3 linked regions of the Caenorhabditis elegans genome follow. The protein of the gene in region 1 interacts with the protein of each later gene in a pairwise test. Each region holds a gene or a part of one and is shown in the gene's direction. Other genes may lie near its edges. The genes, in order: F53G12.4, acs-24 and ttm-2.

Evidence for each region.
Region 2: the proteins of F53G12.4 (region 1) and acs-24 interact in a two-hybrid assay, tested with the Caenorhabditis elegans proteins (one large-scale study listed by BioGRID).
Region 3: the proteins of F53G12.4 (region 1) and ttm-2 interact in a two-hybrid assay, tested with the Caenorhabditis elegans proteins (one large-scale study listed by BioGRID).

What each region holds. Positions count from the first base shown.
Region 1 is NC_003279.8:132,344-137,791, forward strand, and holds F53G12.4 (LisH domain-containing protein), read left to right. Parts: upstream 1-1,993; 5' UTR 1,994-2,010; coding exon 2,011-2,085; intron 2,086-2,162; coding exon 2,163-2,238; intron 2,239-3,205; coding exon 3,206-3,555; intron 3,556-3,891; coding exon 3,892-4,369; intron 4,370-4,865; coding exon 4,866-4,939; downstream 4,940-5,448. Other genes in the region: mex-3 (K Homology domain-containing protein), read left to right, coding at 1-210, 269-350, 1,071-1,239.
Region 2 is NC_003279.8:3,770,074-3,777,968, forward strand, and holds acs-24 (AMP-binding domain-containing protein), read left to right. Parts: upstream 1-4,632; 5' UTR 4,633-4,641; coding exon 4,642-4,707; intron 4,708-4,755; coding exon 4,756-4,841; intron 4,842-4,885; coding exon 4,886-5,007; intron 5,008-5,177; coding exon 5,178-5,792; coding exon of another isoform or gene 5,793-5,845; exon of another isoform or gene 5,846-6,092; intron 6,093-6,165; coding exon 6,166-6,336; intron 6,337-6,377; coding exon 6,378-6,532; intron 6,533-7,003; coding exon 7,004-7,076; intron 7,077-7,124; coding exon 7,125-7,222; 3' UTR 7,223-7,272; coding exon of another isoform or gene 7,273-7,374; 3' UTR 7,375-7,395; downstream 7,396-7,895. Other genes in the region: Degenerin-like protein asic-1, read left to right, coding at 19-174, 390-566, 936-1,175, 1,454-1,576, 1,647-1,765, 1,809-1,936, 1,992-2,089, 2,144-2,301 and 6 more; C32E8.12 (uncharacterized protein), read right to left, coding at 3,855-3,920, 4,365-4,427; C32E8.13 (uncharacterized protein), read right to left, coding at 7,273-7,374, 7,761-7,862.
Region 3 is NC_003280.10:4,762,472-4,769,615, reverse strand, and holds ttm-2 (Protein ttm-2), read left to right. Parts: upstream 1-3,231; 5' UTR 3,232-3,245; coding exon 3,246-3,314; intron 3,315-3,583; coding exon 3,584-3,964; intron 3,965-4,136; coding exon 4,137-4,267; intron 4,268-4,415; coding exon 4,416-4,505; intron 4,506-4,557; coding exon 4,558-4,661; intron 4,662-4,759; coding exon 4,760-4,993; intron 4,994-5,361; coding exon 5,362-5,429; 3' UTR 5,430-5,457; downstream 5,458-7,144. Other genes in the region: F26G1.2 (Signal peptide protein), read right to left, coding at 5,614-5,684, 5,758-5,856, 5,904-6,035, 6,246-6,399.

The sequences.
Region 1 (5,448 bases):
CGTCGCCATTCGGAATGGAGAGCTCGTTGGGATTGGACGCGTTGCTCCGCAGTTTCCCATCGATGCGTAGTTCGTTGACTCCGGAATCTCTTTCCGGTACTGGACTGTCTTCTCGTCCATCGTTGGGAGGAGGACAATCGGCGAAACAAGATCTGCCAACCTACGACTACTGGGGAACCAACAACTCGCTTAATGATATTATGGAGAACGGTAAGCTTTTTTTGCGAATTTTAATAAGAATTTTAAATGACAAATAAGGATTTTTCAGAAATTCTCAGCCGCAAGTACGATGCCCTGTCCGCATGGTCGTCGATGGGATTGGAGAAACGCGAGGAATCCCCAACCAATGGGTATATATTTTTGAAGGAATTTTATAAATTTTTGAAATAAAACTAAAAATTGCAATTTTCCTTCAAAGTTCTAAATTTTTGAAAGAAAATTTGATTTTCCGCTAAAAAATTTAAAAAAAAAACAAGTTTTCGTGTTTTCCACTCGGAACCTGACGGCTTCTTATCAATTTTTTAAATAAAAAATAACGTTTCTAAAACTCAGAATGTTTAAAAAATTTCACATTAAAAAATTATTTTTCCGAAATCTTGAACCTATCCGTTTTTGAAAATAAAAAAGAGTAAAATCGTAGTTTTCTCTATAAAAATTATAATTTTCATTTGAAATTCAAAAATTTTTAAATAAAATTGGATTTTGTCCGTCAGAAATCTATAAAAAGAAAATTTTTTTTGAACAATAAAAGAAAAATTGTAATTTTCTTTTGAACTTCAAAAAAATATGTTTTTTTTCACATGCAAAAAATTGATTTTTTCAAAACCTCGTTTTTGAGAGAAAAAGGTGAAATTCCAATTTTAAGAGGTAAAGTTAAATTTATTTATTTTATGAGAAAAACTTGAAATTTAAAGGAAAATTACTGAAATTTACAATTTATCATACATATTTTTTAATTTCGACATATCTCGAAATATCAAGTCGTAAATTTTTTCCACAAAAGTGTGATATTCTCTTTAAAAACTAGAAAATTTCAATTGTAAATTTATGAAAAATCAAATTTTTTGCAGGCTCATGTCCTCCCTCAAAGGAACATCCGCCGGCTTCGGTCTTCTCAGCACAATCTGGTCTGGCGGAAACATGAATCTGAGCCCAGGATCGTTGGCTTCAGCATCTGCCTCGCCGACTTCATCGACCTGCGATCACAACGATCATACTCTCGTGCCGATCAATGGATAAGCTGTGGATCCATTCATCATTCCATTACTATCGTGTAGACTCTCATCTAGCAAAAACCCATCCTCAACGAGTTCCAAATTCATCTTTCCATTCTTTAAAAGACTCTTTTTCCCATTTTCTACTTTGTTCATCGGTGTACGAGTCCCTCCATTCCCATTTTCTCACCTCTTTACTACATTACTAGAACACACAAAAATCACCATCATTCTCACCCCAAAATCCTAGACAAAAAAAACGAAAAAAATCACATATATTTATATATAACTATTATTATTTGTTATTCATATTTTTGAAATATCTATATTATATATATTTATATATGTAACCCATGCAGTCCCCCAATATATATTCCTACAGTAGGTTTTTTTGGAAAATCTGTAACTTTCTCTATTATTCTTTTTTGCATTATGATAGGACGACCAACTCATGTTTTAAACAAAAATTATATATATTATAAGGATTTCCTCTTTTCTCTCTATCTCTCACCTAGTGTTTAACTCCCAATTTTCCCCCTCTCTACTACGCACAACTAACGGAGAATTGAGAGGCCTTTTATATTTATAGCACCTCTTTATAATTAAAAACTCGAGTGATCCCCACCTCACCCATCAAATTTATCGTATTTTGTAAAAGTTCTGATATATTCCACAGATTTTGGTGTATGTGAATGAAGCGATTCGTGTCGTCTCTCCATATTCTGGTATCCATAGCAACTCCCCGAGCTTTTGGCTCACTCGCGCACGCCCTATACTATACCTTTACTATTATTAAATGCACTCAACAAATCCTATCCTGCGTCAATTGGCCGATCAATTGTCCGAATTGCCACAATATGCACCATTGCGGGTAATAATAGCACAATAGTTGAATATATTAATAATTCAAAAATATTTATTATATTTTGAGGTGTCCCATTGTTTCAGACATATATCCGCGCGACGATAAGTGCCACGTTGGGGGAAACGCCAAAGAAAACGAGTAGGGATTTGACGTATAGAGGTGAAATTTTTAGAAAATTTGAAATTTTCTGAAAAAAAAAGGATTTTTCTTTTATGAAAAATGCTCTTTTCGCCAAAAAAATCACAATTTTCGACTTAAAAACTTCAAAATTTTTTCAGGAACACACAATTCAAAATACAAAATATCTCGTAGCAAAAACTACAGTAATTCTTTAAATGACTACTGTAGAGCTTGTGTCGATTTACGGGCTCAATTTTAAAATTAGATAAAAATGAGAAAATAAAGACACGAAGAAACGAATGAAAGTGTAATATCGAAAATATTCGAAAATAAATAAATTTCAAAAATCGAGTCCGTAAATCGACACAAGAGCTACAGTAGTCATTTAAAGAATTACTGTAGTTTTCGTTACAAGATATTTTGCGCGTCAAATATATTGTGCAATATGCATTTTCAGAATTTTGTGTTTCCGTAATAGGTAAAATGTCAGAAAATCAAGGATTCAGTGCAACCCCGCGTTCTACGGGTATTTTGGCCACGGCCACTTTTTGCAAAACTGCAAAATAGGCGTTGTTATTTCATTTTCTGAAAAAAACATTGAAAATTATTATCGAGAAAGTACGATCTGACAAATTTCTCATAATTTATTTTTGATCTACCTGTTGAACTTTACTCCGCCCCCAATCTTGTTGCCGTTGTTATTTTGTTGTAGCTGTCTTGTCGAAGGACGGGGAGGAGCCTAGTCAACAAGGTAGATAAAAAATATATTATGAGAAATTTGTGCGATCGTATTTTTTCGATTATATATATATATATATCTTCATGTAATTCTCATGAAATCTTGAAAAAAAACGCGACACATGGTATTACCACGCCCACTTTTTATAATTTGAGCGCGTGCAATTTTTTGTCGATAACATAGTTTCTATTTAAACAAAAAACATCGTGCGCCCACATTGAAGAAAATCCTATAATTGGGCGTGGCCTTAACTCTGAAAATTTACAGAACGTGTCACCCATAGCATGATTGCCGATTGGCTCGAGCAGAATGGATATCCAATATCATCTCAAGTCTTGAAAACAGAAATGTCTGGAAACTACATGGAGAGTGCAGAAAAACACGTGGAAAATGGGGAAAAAATCGATAATCTATTGCGAAGTCAGCTGAAAATCGATATTCGCGATGGCACCGGTGACGATTTTGAACGAAAATCGATAAAATCGATTGGCGCCGGCCGCCCGTTTGCAAAAATTAATATGGTCGATAAACAGCGAGCACCGTTGAAAATTACACCGCTTAGTGATGAGGAATTTCGAAAAACGATGCGGAAACGGATGGAAATGGAGAGGGAACGAGTGAGTTGCGTTAAATAATTTTTTTTTGAAATATTTAACAAAAGTCGACAAGGCGATTTTTTAAAATCGATGTTTCGCGACTTTTATTCAAAAGAAAAATTTCAATGCCCTAAATCACTCAAATGATGATTAAAAAAGTATTTGCGCGCGCGCGTAAAATTTAGTGCCAGCGTATGACACTATGTGGTGCAAACTTCACTCCGGGTCCGACACTTTTTGGATTTTGCGCATCGCTATAAAGATTTCAGATCGCGGCGTGAGAGCGGCGTTTGCGGCGCCGACATGAGAGTCCTACTTTCCTACTTTTCTTGGCAAAAAAATCGATCGATTTTTCAGCTCGCACGTCTATCCAACCAGGCAGAAGACGATTCCGACGATTCATCGTCCTCCTCCGACTCTTCCACGTCATCCGCGTCGTCATCTTCCGAGGAGAAGTTGACTTTTTCGGATATCTTGGGGAAACCCACAGCAGCTGGCGCGGAGAAAATGATCGAACTAAGCCAAATTCCCAACGCATGGGGTCCGTCAAAATCCGCGTTAGTCACTGATGACGTGGCAAGCACTTCTGACCCACTTCCGGCGATTTTCAACGCACATCTTCCGCCGCTCTCCATGGGACGACCACCGCTGACAAAAAGCGCGAAAAGTCGGGAAATCGACGCCATTTTCGGCTCGGATAACGTGGATTATGATTTAGAGGATTTCGAGCAGGATGGCGTGGCGAAGAAAAAGTCTATACTGCCTATGGAGAAAAAGAAGGAGGAAGCGAAACCAAAGGAACAGGAGCTAGTGGAGCCGTTGGTCTTGTCAGAAGGTAACTTTGAACTTGCACCATGCAAAAATTTCGAAAAATTATGCACGTGGTCACTGGCTGTCCTTTTGCATAAGCTTGAAGCAAACGCGCCTCATTGAGAATTCACGTTTGCGCCAACTCTCGCTATCCATTGGGCGTGAGAGACGCAGATACTACTTTTTTCTCTGAACGTGAAAAACGCAAAGAATAACCGTTTTGCCGTCTGCATCTCTTCTTTCACACGCTATTTTGGCTGTGGACGAGGAATTCTCCTCTTCCAGGATTTTCTAGGCCATTTTCTCATATTTCTCAAGTTTTCTCGTCCGCGAGAAAACGTGAATTTTGAGACAGCCAGCGAGCACGTGATTATGCAACTCTCCTAAAAATCGATCATTGTTCCTGTAGCTTATAATTTTAAAGGCGCATATTCCGCTTGCGGAGCAAAAGTAAAAAAAAAACATGCCTCTACATACAAATCGATGAATTTCCTGAAAAATCAATAATAAAAAATTTTCAGGAGAATCAATCGACGAGCTTGAAGATTTCGACACCGGTCTACTATCTTCCGGAGGATCCGATTATTCTTTTTAAAATTTTCTTCTTTTAAAAAATTTCTTTTGAAATAAATAAATTCTCACCTAGGAATTTCAACAATTCAACTTGAAAAAAGTTCGCGCAAACTACGAACAAATGTGTGTCGAGCGGGCGGAGCCACTGAGAAAGAGGAGCAAAATGTACACAAAACCATATTTGAGTGTAATTTTTCAAAGTTTGGCGCCGATTTTCTGTGAGAGATGAGTTTTCTCAATTTATATTTGGTTATTTTTATTTTAGTTCTTACTGGTAAATTTCTGGGTAAGTCCTGATGACTTTGAAAACGAAAAAAACTCTTTCATTGATGCTAGTGCGATTGCTAGGAAAGCAACTTTTCAGTTACCAAGAAAAAGTCCAAGGCCATAGGGATTAGCTGCGTGGCATAACAACTCATCCATCCTCGCAGATGCAAATCCGCTCTATTGGCAAATAACATGGAAGAGTATAAACATTTTCTCTTCCACACGGAAACCTAGTCCCCTTGGGGAGCGGTAGTGCCCACAACC
Region 2 (7,895 bases), 3.6 Mb from region 1:
TAAATTCTAGATATTCAGATTGAAGCATTCGAGCTAGCAATTGATAAAAGTGATGGGAATGCACATTCAAAAAGGAAAAAGCGATCAGCTAATTCAAAAATGGTCCCGATAGATTTACTGTGTAAGGAGGAGCACGGAATGTTTACTGCTCATGATTATGGGCACGTGGAATGTGTAAGTAGAGTTTTTCCCATGCCGACCAATCAGCGACAAGCAAAGCACTTCACTGATTGGTCGGTGCTTTCTAATCAAAATTGTAATTGAATTTTGCAAGGTTTTGCGCAGTTACTTATGTTATAGCACAGTTATTTCACAATACCATTTTTCCAGGCAAATCGATTTTTAGACTTAGACTCCTTACGAAATCCCTCTAATATTCCCATTTTCAGACATGTGTCACTTTTGAGGATATGTCAAAAGTTGGTGACACCGACGATGATGAAATATTCTGGAATTGTCACCAAAGAAAAGATTGGACACATAAAATTTGCCACTTGGCAGAGGGATCCAATCAATTGAAAACGTGTAAATGCTTTGAGGACACTTGTGTTTCGGATGAGGTTACGGTAAGTTTGGAGGTAGAAAATTGTCTAAAATTGTCGGAATGGATATATAAAAGATTTAAAATTGTCTTCTTTCAAATAAATATAACTCGAAAAATGTTTTAAATTTTATTTTAACAAACTAAAAAATAGGTCGTAATGCGGCAAATATGAAAATTTGCCGAGTTCGACAAATTCGGCAAATGCGCTTTTTCAAAATTTGCCGTGCTCTAGCCGTAATACAGTACCCAATTTGCGCAGCAGTTCAAATAATTCAAAAATATATTTGCAAAATTGTAGTGAAATTTTTGAAAAAATGAAGTTTTAAAAATTGCATCGTTATAAGTATACTTGAACATTTCAGACTATTCTCTATCAAACAAAAAATTCCAGAAACAACTGGTGTGGCCACTTCAACTTTCCAAAAACGGCACAAAACTTTGCATTTCCCCTGAATCCAGTGGTCCCAGATATTGTGCATCTGCTCAAAAATTTCAAGTATCCACGTGTAGTAACTGTGATTGGTTGGGCAAGTGTGAAGAGTCTGATGATATGGATTTGGAAGAAGAAATCGACTCAAAAACTTGTATCTGTCATCATGGAAATTGCTTTCAAATTAAGGGAAATGTTAAGGTGATTTTACTAGGGTTCAGTAGGCAACGTGTAGGCAGGAGGCAGGCATGCAGAGATCTCCTTAAAAAACGGCAGACATTGAGCCAATTCTAATTTGCATCCAGGCATTGCAAGCGTTTGAAAAACAGGTATTATTCTAAAATTCTTGAAATCCAAATTTTCCGATAATTTGGCAACTCAACTGAAAATTATCAAAAATCATTTTTAAAAAATTAGACCATTCTTGGCAAAATTCTCCCTGGCGCTACCCCACCTTTAACTAGATATTCAACTTTCAGAAACGAAAAAGAAGAACTCCCGAGAGGAAAGTCCATGAGCGTCTTCTCAGTAGATATGAGGGTCTACTAGCTGTCTACTCGCATTGTAATTGTACTAAACAACATGGCTGTGTGTCTACTTCGGTGAGTTTTCCTTGAATTGTTTGATGTTTCTATCAACAAAAAATGAGCTCGAGCTTTCTTCATTTTCCAGGTACCCGACATGGATCTGGAAAACTCCAATAAAACGTGCCTCTGTTTCTACAATAAAAAGAACGAACAAATATGGCCATGCTACAAAGAACCGGAATGGGAGGAGAGGAAGTGCAGCAGGTTGAGCATATTTCACAGAGTTTTTTGAACTTGAAAAATTCAGATGTAACACAATGGGTGACTGCGTGTATAGTGATAAACCGAAAAAGCAAACGATTTCCTGTCTCTGCGCTACTCCGATCAAAATGTGCGTGCGGATCGACCCTCCGCAAACTAATGATACAAGTTTAGGTGGGAATTTTAATTTTTTGGAATTTGGAATTTGAAAGTTCACAAAAGGTTTCAGATGATCGCGTAGTCAAGTTTTGGGATATTCAGCCATCAACTACAATGTCTCCAATTGTGAAAAAGAAAGAAGAACGGGATAAAGCGTATGGGTATACGGTAGGTTTCAGCCACAGAAACTGAAATTCTAGAAGAAAACTGAAAGCTTTTTAGGGTGTGAAAGATAGAATTGCTCTACGAGCAAAAGCAATGGAGAACATGATTTTTGCTGTCGATGCGCTGACGGAAGAAGAGAAATGGAAGATTTCTTATAATAAGTCTGATTTTATTATGAAATGTTCTTTTAACGGAAGGGAGTGCAATGTGAAACAGTAAAGATTTTCTGGGGTGTAACTTAAAACTAAGATGATGTTTCAGTGATTTCGTGGAATACCTTGATCCAACGTATGGTGCATGCTTTACATATGGCCAGAAGCTGGGCAATAATACGAATGAACGGTCCGGCCCGGCTTATGGTGAGTATTAAATTTTCCAAAAAGCTAAAGCAAGTAATTTAGGACTTCGACTAGAAGTTTTTGTGAATGTAACTGAATACCTGCCAACGACTGAGGCAGCTGGAGTCCGGTTAACAGTTCATGCAACCGACGAGCAACCATTTCCAGATACTCTTGGATTTTCAGCGCCAACTGGTTTTGTTAGCAGTTTTGGTATTAAATTGGTAAGCCTTTTTTTGAGAGTACTGTTTTAAATGAGCCGCCCATACACCTATCCGCCTTCGTCTTATTTGATGCGCAATTTTTATAGCCGTGCCAACTATATCAAATTTCAAAAAAAAATCGCTCAGAAATCAATGGTCCGCCTGCCTGCTCCATATGGAGATTGTGTTCGAGAAGGAAAAACTGAGGACTTCATTTACACTCAGAAGGCCTATAATACGGAAGGATGCCAGAGAAGTTGTATTCAAAAACATTTATCAAAAACTTGTGGATGTGGAGATCCCAGGTTCCCACCGTACCGGGAATCGAAAAATTGTCCGGTAGATGACCCCTATAAACGTAGGTTTTTTGGAAACTATTAGAACTTTTTAAAAATTGAATTTGTTTCAGGTGAATGTATTAAAAACGAGATGCACGTGGCAACTCGAGACTCGAAGAAGCTTGGATGTTCGTGCAAGCAACCTTGCAAGTGAGTTTTTAATTCTGGAAAATTTAACTAAAATTTCGAATAAATTCTCAATTTTCATTTCATTGAACCAACTCTGCAAACATTTTCAGCCAAGATGTCTATTCTGTTTCCTACTCGGCTTCAAGGTGGCCTGCGATTGCTGGAGATTTATCTGGATGCCCACTTGGAATGGCTGCCCATCATTGTTTGAATTATAAAAGAGAACAAGGATCCATGATTGAAGTGTACTTTGAACAACTCAATTATGAATCACTTTTGGAATCCGAAGCCTATGGATGGTCGAACCTTTTATCTGATTTTGGTGGACAATTGGGATTGTGGATGGGTGTCAGTGTGATCACTATTGGAGAAGTGAGTTCTTTACTTTTGGGCTGTGGGAAATTAGAAAGTGAACAATTTTCACTTTCCTTTTTTGCTTTTTTTTGCTGAATTTATTTTTCTTTTTTGTTAGAGCGCCCTTGCTCCGCTATTTTTAAAGCCTCAACTCTTCCGAGGACTAGTTTAAAATACAATTTCTCTTCCACAGTAACATTTTTTTCAGGTGGCCTGTTTCTTCTTCGAAGTGTTCATCTCATTAATAAGCTCAAATCGAACAAAACGACGTCCTGCTCGGAAGTCATTCAGTTCATCTCTACGATGTTCAACTGATTATAATTTAAACAAAGACGGGTTTAATCTTGATAATTGATCTCTTTTTCTTCGGCTCGTAAAACTTTTTTCTATGAAAAACACATTTTATTTAAGAAGATAGGGTTGTTGTGGTAGAATCGGTGATGCGAAATCCGTCCATACCGCCCATGATGATCTGAAAATGTTTGAAACTTGTTGCGGCCATAAAGTGGGTATTGGCACGATTGCATGCAATTTTTAAGAAAACTCAAATTGTTATAAAATAGTTTCAATAATATTTCTATTTATTTTGATAATTTCCTTTCAACTTTGGCTTACAAAAATCGGCTTAAAAATCAAAATTTCCTGTCTGTCGGTCAGGTGGCCTACGCCTGCCTTGTACCTACACAGACCCGTTTTGTCATAATACAAATGAACTTTGTTCTTTTTTGTTCAATTTTCCAATTAAAATTTATCTGCAATTGTAAAATGTCTAAAACCTAGTTCTGGACAAAATATAAAACTTCGACAGTAGGCAGGCATGTAGGCATGAAAACTTGCCTACCTATGATTTTAGTTCTATACTTTTAAAGGCATTTAAAACGAAACATTTGCGCGTAAATTGTGATTGTGTGCTTACCTTCGAAGCTGTTTCAACGAAAAATAGGATAGTAAAAATAAAAAATATTATGAAATGATTCATTTTCCGATGTACAGTTTCCTTCTTTTTTAAATTTATACTGCCGATATTATATGGGTCTCTAAAAATTTAATGTGTAATTTTATTTGTGGTTTGTTGTCAATGTCAACATGATGTCAATACAGTAGTCTGAGCCTCCAAACCGCGGCTAATTTGAAAACTGGACCCAATTAAATGTTACGTTATTTTCTGGAAAGAAACATTCTGTACAATAAGAATGATGCGAAATTTCGGTCGTGAATTTCTTGAAGAAACGTCTATTTTTGAGAACAAAACGTGTTTGGTAAGCTTCAATTTTTGAGCCCAACTTCAAGAAATAACATGTTTTCAGATCTGGAGAGACAGGGAAATTTCTTTTAAAGAATTTCACGAATACATTGGAAAATGGAAGAACGTTCTAGATGAGCAAAAGACAAAGTGAGAAATTATGTTGTTTTTTTTTGAACGTGTATAATTTTTAGAACAACAAATCCGCTCCGTATTGCACTATTCTGCACGAATTCTCCAGATATTTTAGCAATAATTGTGGCCGGGCAACTTTCCGGAGTTACAGTAATTCCACTAAATCCATCTTATAAAAAATGTGAGGTTTTGCTTACAGTTAGTCTTAGGCTTAGGCTTCCGCTTAGGCTTCAAGAACCTTCGTTGAATATCCATCGTTCTGTGAAACTAGATCTCGATGACTTTGGCAAGAATTGAGCAATTGAAACTCCGTGAAAAATCGTTAAAATACAAATATTACTAAATTTTCAGATGAGATTGATGAGTACATTTCCAAATCCATTGCGAATTTCATAATTGTCAGTGATGATGTGGATTTGGACAAATTCGAAGAACGAGAAGTGAATCTTATATCGGAGCTATTCACTTCAAATGTAACTCCATCTTCAACTGCTTCAACTCCAGAGAATCAGGGAGTCATTGTATTTTTTAGTTCTGGAACTACAGGTCCACCTAAACAATTCGAGTATACTCAAAGAATTCTATGCTCCCAAATCGATCAAATCAAGGCAATTAGATCAGATCCTCGATTCTTCTCTCCTTCAACTGATGACATTTGCTATGGAGTTCTTCCATTCTTCCATGCGGGTGGCCTAATTACAATACTCTCCATGATATTTTCTGGATGTACTGTTTTGATAAACGAACGATGGAATGAGCATGAGTTCTTGGCAAATTGCCAAAATTACAAAGTCTCAGTGTTGTTTCTGGTTCCACCCGTTCTCAATTTCTTCGCTAATCATCCATTAGTGTCCAGTTACGACCTTTCCGCATTGAAAACCATATATGTTGGCGCTGCTGCAAGTCCTCCGGAGAATTTTGCAAAGGTTGCGGAAAGATTACCGGAGCTCGAGAATTTGATACAATGTAAGTTTAGTTACAATGTAAGTTTTTTCATTAGGAGAAAATGTTGCACTTGAACTTAAAGGTGTGAGCATATTTTTCGGTGAGCCACGATCAACGTGAATTTGAACGGGGCACCGGTAAATTGTAAATTTTTGGCTATTTGATGTGAAGCGTTTCGAGACCAAATTACACACTTTTAAATGGAAGGACGTACATGTTAGCTACCATACAAGGTATGCACGTATTTATGCCTGCCTGCCTTCGGTCTTTTTTTTTTGTAATTTGGCGATCTTTTTGAACGATGTTTGGAAATTTAACAGGGTAGGCACAAGGCAGGCTGTCCCATTTGACATGACCTGCCTTAAGTATACATTCACACAAATTTCATGTTCAGTGTACGGAACATCTGAATGTGGTGTACTCCTGTGCAGTACTGGAAAAGGAAAAGCTTCTGGAAAGACTGTTGGATGGCCATTCCCTTTCGTCGAGCTTAAGATCAATCCTGAAAATAATGAGATTTTTGTGAAATCTGCCACAGCTATGGAAGAAGGATTCATGGAGACTGGTTCGTGAAATAAAGAAATTAATTCAATTTTTCAAATTTAGGCGACCTGGGATGCTTGAGCTTCAAGACAATTGAGCTAATGATTGTGGGAAGATCCAAGGAAATGATGAAAATTCGTGGATGGCAAGTTAATCCAAATGAAGTTGAAGACGTGATCCGGAAAGTGGAGGGTGTCTTGGATTGTGCCGTGTATCAGGTAAATTTGCGAGTCAAATGCTGTACATTAGGAAAGTGACAAGAAATTCCGCAACACGGACATGATCCGATTCTTTTATATGTAGCGAAGATACGCACTGTTCCTAGAAGAGGTATTTGAACACTTTTGACAAATGCTCTTTCCCTACGTTTACAATCTTGATTTTTTACTTAAGAGCGGAGAGCCGTTGATGTTTAAATACATTATTATAATTTTTCAAAATTCTTATTCAATTTATTCTGATTTGTTACTTCAGCATTATTGTCTTTGAAACACACATTTCAACAACAGAAGAGTCAGCCAAAGCCGATACCCAAAAATAAAACGGTCGGCCATCGCCTCTCGTATAACTGATTAGTTCTTGATAAACTTTCATTTAAAAAATTTGTTTGGGAAATTTTACTAAATTTCATTTCCGCCTCATTTATGATTTCGTCGGATTCAAAACAACACAATAAATACCAATTTCAGAATCAAGAAAAATTAACTGCAAAAATTATTGGAAACCCGGATTCAAAAGCAGACATTTTTAAAATTGTGAAAGGTAGCTTTTTGTAACTTTTTTTTCTTTTTCAAGTTCACCCTTTACCAGACAACTTGGCATCCTATAAACAACTGGATGACGTCATTTTTGTGGAAGAACTGCCTAGAAACCCATCTGGAAAACTAGTCCGTCATATGTTGCATTGAAGTTGAATGTATATAATAAAATGCTCATAAATCTTCATTAAAGTCCAAAATTATGATTTCCCACCGTTCTTCGCTGCGGGACCACTTACTGGTTTCTTGATAACCATTCCAATTGAGCCACCCATGAGACCTTGGGCATTTTCGTCGTCTCGCTAAAATTGAAAGAAAGTTTTGGTGTTTTTACTGATTTTTTGTAGCCGAGGAATAAGAAAATAACTTAATTCTTGAAACGTGCAATTTTTAAACAATTGTATATACTGTGTCGGCCAAAATTATATGCGTTTTTGAGATTTCGTTTTTTTTTCTAATTTTTTTAACAGCAAACACTCTGAATACTAAAGATTTCTGTATGCTTTAGAACATATGTGATATAAAATAAAATTTAGAAAAACTAGGCCGTCAATTTTTGACGGCCACGGAGCAACTTATTTTTGATCTACAAAAGTTGCAGCAAATTTGTGTTTTCGAAAAAAAAATCAGAAAATGCACTCTAAAGAAGGGAGAAGTTTGCCATTTCGAAACAAGTTGAAATTCATACCATCCACCGATTCCGTGCACCTGAATTCTTATGTCGAAGGGCAGAATATGCTCCAACCACGTTAAATATAAGGAACACCACTAGAAGTTTCAGAATCCTCATTGCGATTCTCGAAAAAATGATTCACAACAGGAA
Region 3 (7,144 bases), on another chromosome or scaffold:
CCCCCCTCCCAAGCTTCATATCTGAATCACATTTCCCAATTTAAAAGTTAATGCGAACGCGTCATACCTACTTTTAGAAACGGATTTCTATTGACGTTTTTCTTGCAATTGCTATTTATTTTAGGAGAGCTGATTCATAGATGTTCATAGCCAATCAAGTGACGCACGCAAGAATCGTACGCACTTGTCGCAAAAAATTTCATGGTCATTTCCATTTTTCTCATACTTGACTTTTCATTCATTTTATTCTATGATAACTGTGTCAAATTACATGTGTTTCGGTCAGCTGATTCCTTTTCCGAAGAGACTTGTTTATTGTCCAGATTTTCTTTTCTGATAAGACTGTTAAACAACACTTTTAAATCACAAATTTGCGTGGAATTGACAGCTGGTGAAAATAAAATGATGTGTTTGTGATGGGAGGGAATGTTCAAAGAAAATTTATCAATGTTGAAACAGTCATCATAAATTTTGAGTCGTTTTCCCGGAAATTGAAAATTTGATTTTTTTCAAAAGTTGAATAGTTGTATTCTTTGTATGCCTGTAATGCAATGAGAATGGTGTTTTTCTTTCAAAAAAATGTGAAAAAAATTAATTCCATACTTTTATATGTTTTTTGCTTCATTTTGTTTCTTTTTTAAGAATTTAGTTTTAGACTATGAAGCGTAAAAATTTTTAACAAACTACGCTTCAAATCTTATTCTACAAGTTGATAGTAAAATACTGATTTTTAAAATCAAAATTTAATTTTTAGATTACAAAAAATCAAAATTGGATTTTTCCATTTATTCACTCTTGTGTTTTTCTGATTCAACTAAAATATGCTCGAGTGTTTTTGTCCACTTTAAAAACTTTGAAAACCAAAATTCAAAAAACTAGTTTTTTTCCTCATCTACCGCCAACTTATTCATCTCAGCGGGAGACAATCTAAGATCCTTGTTAGGTCATGCCTTTCAGTTTTAATTCAATTTTTTCCCATCATTGCATTAAACTTTCCCATAATTCTTCACCCTACACTTATTATTCTTACTCACCTTTAACCCTTAAGACAAATTGACTTTTGAAAAAGAGTATATCTGGCTGTACCGATCTGTTTGTTCTCTTTTCTTTTTCCATTCCACACTTATAAACGACCGGTTCACTCTCTCTGTGTCAACCTCATTTGCTGAATACCCTTTGCACCCTTTTCTCGTTTCTTCGTGTGTTTTTTGTCTGTTTAAACCATTAGGAAAGCTTAATGGTCTAGGAAAGCTTTCTGGAATTTTTTTCTGGTAATTTGGCTCTTAAAAATGAATTAAATTGGAGCTTTTAAGCCTAATGTTTTCCTTTAACAAAAGTTTTAGAAACAATTCTTTAAGGTAGAGTAGAGTCAGTTGGGATTTTGTCTAACTTCACTCTTAATGTTTTAGCGTGGCCAAACATTATATAAAAATACCCCAAAATTTGTTATAATTCTGGAAATGTGTAGTCAAATTTTTGTTTAATGGTCAAAACTTGAATAATCAGAATTTTCTTAAAAATCAAAGATATTGTAGGCAGACAGTCAGGCATTTCCTTTGCCAGCATAACAACTTCAGCTTCATTCTTCAAACCCTAATTTCAAATCTTCCCCCTCTCCCCTTGGGTGGCTAACAACGTCTGTTCCTTTTCTTCCTGTTTCCACCTGCCCTCTTTCAATCTTAATTGACTCATCATTCTCCGCCGGAAAATGAGTTTAAATAAGGAACAGATGAAGAAAAAAAGAATCTTGTAACCTTCAAAAGTTGAATAGAGACACACTAGGTTGACGGAAGAAAAATAAGAAAATGAGAAGATGTGTCGGTCTTATCCTTTTCATCTTTCAACTTCGAATTCGCATCTCTCATTGATTGTTTTGATCGCTCTTGGTGGTTTTGTCTATTTTTGGAAATTGATTGGAATATTAGCTTATTAGCTTTTTTTCTGTAAAAAATATTTTTGGTTTTCTAAAATTCCAAGCTCCTCTGAAAATTAAAGGAACTCAAATTTGAGCGCCTATGGGGATTTTATTTTAAATATTAGAAGATGGGTTCAAAATAAACTAAGTTTCCTAATTTTTTGAAATGAATTTTTCCAGTGTTACAAAATAAATTTCAAATGGTCAGGTCTTTAATGGAATAACAAGAAAAGTCAAAAACAAAACTCTAAAATTTTAGTAGTCATTATGACCCTATTTTCCATATTTTAAAACAGAATCCCTCCGGACGATACCCCACATTTAAATTTGTGCAGCTTTTGAAAGAATTTAGTTGAATTTTTTTTAACTTTACAAAAAGTTGTGTTTATTAATATTTCGTTTCAAAATTCCAGTCAGCTTTTGCTCGTCAGTCTTGAACTGTGACCTCCATACGATTGTTTGTCGTTCAAAATAAAATCAACAAGCTTTTTTTCAATATGTGCAAAAGTGATTGCTTTTGATCTTCACCCCAGCTGATTGATCTTTCTTTTTTCTCCAACAATTTACTTTTCAAAATCTTCTAACCGATCCGCAAAAGGTTCTTCTATTCTATTCTATTCTAATTATTCTGGAAACGAACGCTTTCATTTGACACACTCAGAACTAGTTATTTTCTACGTTCAAACTGCACTTTTCTACTTTTTCCTTTATTTCTTAATGTGAAATAATACTGCCGTTGAATGCACATATGCGGGCGTAAACCCCAAACTGAGGCCTGCCTGCGTGCCTACCTGCCTATACCGAATTTCATGTAGGTAAAAGTATAAGGGTTGCCCATTCTATAACTCAAGCGGTTTCTTGCACTCTGCCATTAGGTTCGTATGTAGGCACAAGGTAGGCATGTTTGAGACTTCATAGCAGGCTCAGTCTGAAGTTTCTTGAATCATCTGGAATTATAATTTTTATTAATTCAGAGAGCTCAAAGATAAAATTAATTTACTTCTCTTGAGATTTTTCTGGAGTTTTCTAATCTCAATCAATATTTTTATGACTCTACTGCAGTTGTAGCGTACGTGATATATGAATTCTGTGACTTTCCCCCCTGTATGTTCATCACGTGTGATAGTTTGTTGTCCTCTGAAACTTTAATTTGAATATATCAACTATCTTTTATTCTCTCTCTGCCCTGTTCATAATCATATTCTGGTGTGTAATTCAAAGAGTTTACGAGTACACTCAGACTATGTATACAATGTGGCTTTGATCTTTTTTGTTTGTTTCTTATATGTTTGAATTTTTCTAAATTTTTTTTCCAGGTGGGAAGTCCAAAATGCTGGACAAAATACGATTCACAGTGTTACTCGATCGGCCATTTTATCAACCTGGACAAACTATTCAAGTGGGTGTTAAAAAAAAATTTTATTGCGATAAAATGGGTGGTATGTATTTTATTTACTGGAACCGAAAATTAAAAACTTGCGGTATTTGAAAGGAATAGTCTACATACTAGATTTATTCAAAATTTCCCATCGATCAGGTTTCAATTCCATGATCTATATTTTGAGTCAAGGACTGATCATTGGCACCCGCAGCATCTATGCAACATAAAAGTATTGAAACTTCGAATTTAAGTTCTATGAAGACCTGTATTTCACATCACATTTCCAGGGTCACGTCGTCTGCGAACCCCACCACCCTCTCGAAATCGACTGTGTAGAAGGCAGACTTCATGGAGAAATTCAATATTTCCAACAACTTCCACCTAATCACAACCGTAATGGATCGCCACTTCCACCATCAAAAACACGAGTTCTAATTGACGAAAAAGCTCAACTTTGGAAGTATCAAACAGTTAGCGAAATGCTTGGATTGGATGTATTCTATGATGAAAATCAAAATCGGCATTTTTCAAGCGAATCTGCATCTGCATCATCTTCCTCTTTATTCACAACAGCTGCAACATTTCCTATTCAAATTGAACTACCTCATTTTGCACCTCCGAGTTTTTATTGCCCAGGATCTCCGGTATCCATAAGGTTCACGTTGGAAGTAAGTTGTCTATTAATGCTGGCACACTTTTAAGTCAACGTGCCTAGTTTCTCGTGTAGGCTCAAAAGGTAAAACCCATCTTCAGGCAAACTACGCATTTGTCGGCAAAACTTTACACGTTTTCAAAAGCAAGGAGTTCAAGATTCTGAAACTTAAAAATAATATTTTTCAGATCCAACTTTACAACCAAGGATTTAAAATTGCATCTCACGAAGAAAATCTCGTCGTACTAAATTATGAATCTATCAAACGGCAGGTCACTCCGAAGCCGGTCAATTTTCAGAAAACTTTTAACTTTCCAAAGTAAGAATGAATTTTGACAGGAAACTCAAATTCAAATATGCAACCATACCCAAAAATTGTTCAAATTTGAATTAAAAATTGAAAAAAAAATTAAAGAAGTTTCAAAAATATTTTAAACACCAGTTCTACAAAATTAATATTATTCCAGGGAGCGATCAATTTCTTTGGAAATGCTCCTACCTACAGATGTTTTCACAACTACTGCCAGACTAGAAAATTGTATCACTATTTGTAATAGGTTGGTTTCGGAAAAATTTAATATGTTATAAATTTTAAGGTTACTTATTCAGATGGAAACAATCACTAAAATATGTGCATTTGAACATTGTTCGTCGCATTTCTGCTTTGAATCAAAATAATGAAGTTATCGATACGGTTAAAATTGATACTACAGGTAAATGGTACTTTTTTAATTTATAATAATATCTACTTCAAAAACCTCAAAAATTAGCTAAAATTAACTTATCAAAACTTAAAAAAGTACAATTTCAGGAGTTGGCCTTCCCAGTAAAACAAAAATCGCTGTTGGGGAAACCTACTCATTCCGTCCGACATTCAATGTTCCTGCTTTACCACCAAATATTCATGTGAATGGATTGTTTAAAACGGAATATTCATTAAAAGTGACAATTGGAAGAGCTCATAATTTTGTTTTGGCATCCTATGAAGTTCCCATTACAATTGTTACAATGGATCAGAGTTCCAGAAGGTCAATGCAAAAAGAAGGTAAGTTTTCAGGGCAGAAATTAAAACCAGGTCCAAATTACTAAATTAAAATAAACAATTTTGACAAACAACAAAGAAACAAACACTTACAAAACTTTTCAAAATAAAATTAGATTTTGGATATTATAAATTGGACCAAATAAAATAAATCGACCACTTGATTTATTTATACGGTGCTCTAAAATTTTTACGCTGTGCTCAAGTTGCACCAAATTCCAAATATTATAAAAACTAAAAAGCTGGAAACCCATACTTCCGTAGGCAACATTGAGCAGACATTTAAATATTCTTGTGCCTGCCTGGCTGTCTTATAAATATTTTTGAACATATTCACTTGATCATAAATTCCCAAATGTCTGAATTTTCAGACATTCTCGTCGATATCTCTGCATCCAACAACACTCTTAATAATTTACCGGTAGATTTGCTTGCTTGAAATTAATTTTTAATAAATCATTTATTGTATTTAAAAAAAACAATATGAACAGAAAAACTCCGGAAAAATCAATAAAACTTGTCATAAAGCGTTTTGGGTAACGAGGTCCTTTGTGTTGTTGTCTTCCACTATTGCACACTACAGTGTAATCATTATTTTGAATAAATTGATTGAATAAATTGATTTATTTCGGAGGACTGTCGGAGCCAACAACAGCGACGGGCGTGATTTCTACTGGTTGTGGGGCGTTGGATTCTGAAATTATTTGAAAATAAGTTTAAATATATTTTTTGCAGTTAGAAAAAGCCATGCAGTTAATTTTGCACACCTTGCCCGATGACTTCAGTGCTAGCCAAAGTTTGTAGTGACGCCACCACCGCAATGGTTTTCCCCAACTTTTTCGAATTTCGACGCACTTTCTCGCGTTCTGGAGCACAATTTTGCTCAATTAATTGAAAGAAATTGCGAAATTACCTTCTTTCTTTTCCTTGTCAGTGAGTGGAGCTCCAGTAATCGTACGGATTCTTCCACGGAGCAACGCGGATCCCCACATTGTTGGAGCATCACTTTCATTGACAAGCTTCCCATTGATCATTTTACGGCCGTCTGGAAAAAATTGAATCAGTTCTTGAACTCAGAAAGCCGAAATTTTTAATTTTTAATTTTTTTTTTTCAAAAATTTGATAACTTTTTTGCACACGGCCTCAGAATTAGCTTTTTTTCACTTTTTCTAGAGTTAGTGCGACAGAAATTCGACGGTATTCAACCAAAAGTTAACAATATGCGAGAGAAAGGTGACGTTGTAAAATAGCTTACCTTCTGTATAAGAAACCACATCTTTCTGCTTAACTTCTGAGAATTTCTTCAATTCTTCAGAATTCTCCGCCGCACTTCCCAGCTCATCGGAAACTTTTCGGTTTGTGGCGTAAAACTCCACAGAATCGGAAGGCGAGTTCATCATGCCGAGCATTTTTGTAAATGTGTGAAACTTCTGAAATGAAACCAAATAGTAAGTTTTGAAATCAAAACCAGGTAGAATTGAGGGAAAATGGAAAAGAGAAGATCGTGATCATTAAGTTGTAAAATCGAGGAAACGGATAGATGAATGATAAGATCGGAATGTGATTGTATTGTGTCTTCTGATTTAAACTTTTTATCAGATATCAGAGAATAAATTAAAAATCAGTTAATCAATAGAATGGAAATAATATTTGAAATGAATAATGGAATACCATAAAACTTTGTGGAAAACTTTTAGTTTTATACAACGACCTGCCTTCTCAAAAATTGGAGGCAAAAATGGGCGGAGTTTCGGGGAGGGGGTCATTTGTCTTTGACGAACAAGGGAAAGACGGTTTGCAGGAAGAAGTCAAGAAAAAACGGGTGGAATGTGACTTGTTTCTGAATCACTTCACCATCACTGCCGACCTGATTCACTTACGGCTCACTAGGTTTTGATCTGATTAGGATGACGTGGCGATGGGACACGAGACGTTGTGACGTCTTAAGTTGAAGGCGCTGGTGTAGTAAATTTGTGTTACTTGTGATGTGTAGTTTGTGGTCTCGAGTTATCTTGGTTTAGTGTGCGGAAAAGCGTTTCTAGAAGTTTCGGAAATTGGGAATTATGGCATGATATCTCACGGGGCTCGGCTCACCTCTCTCCACTCTCCCGGAAAGGCCCCCGAATGTCACGTAGTTCTCCAAAGTGTGTTCTC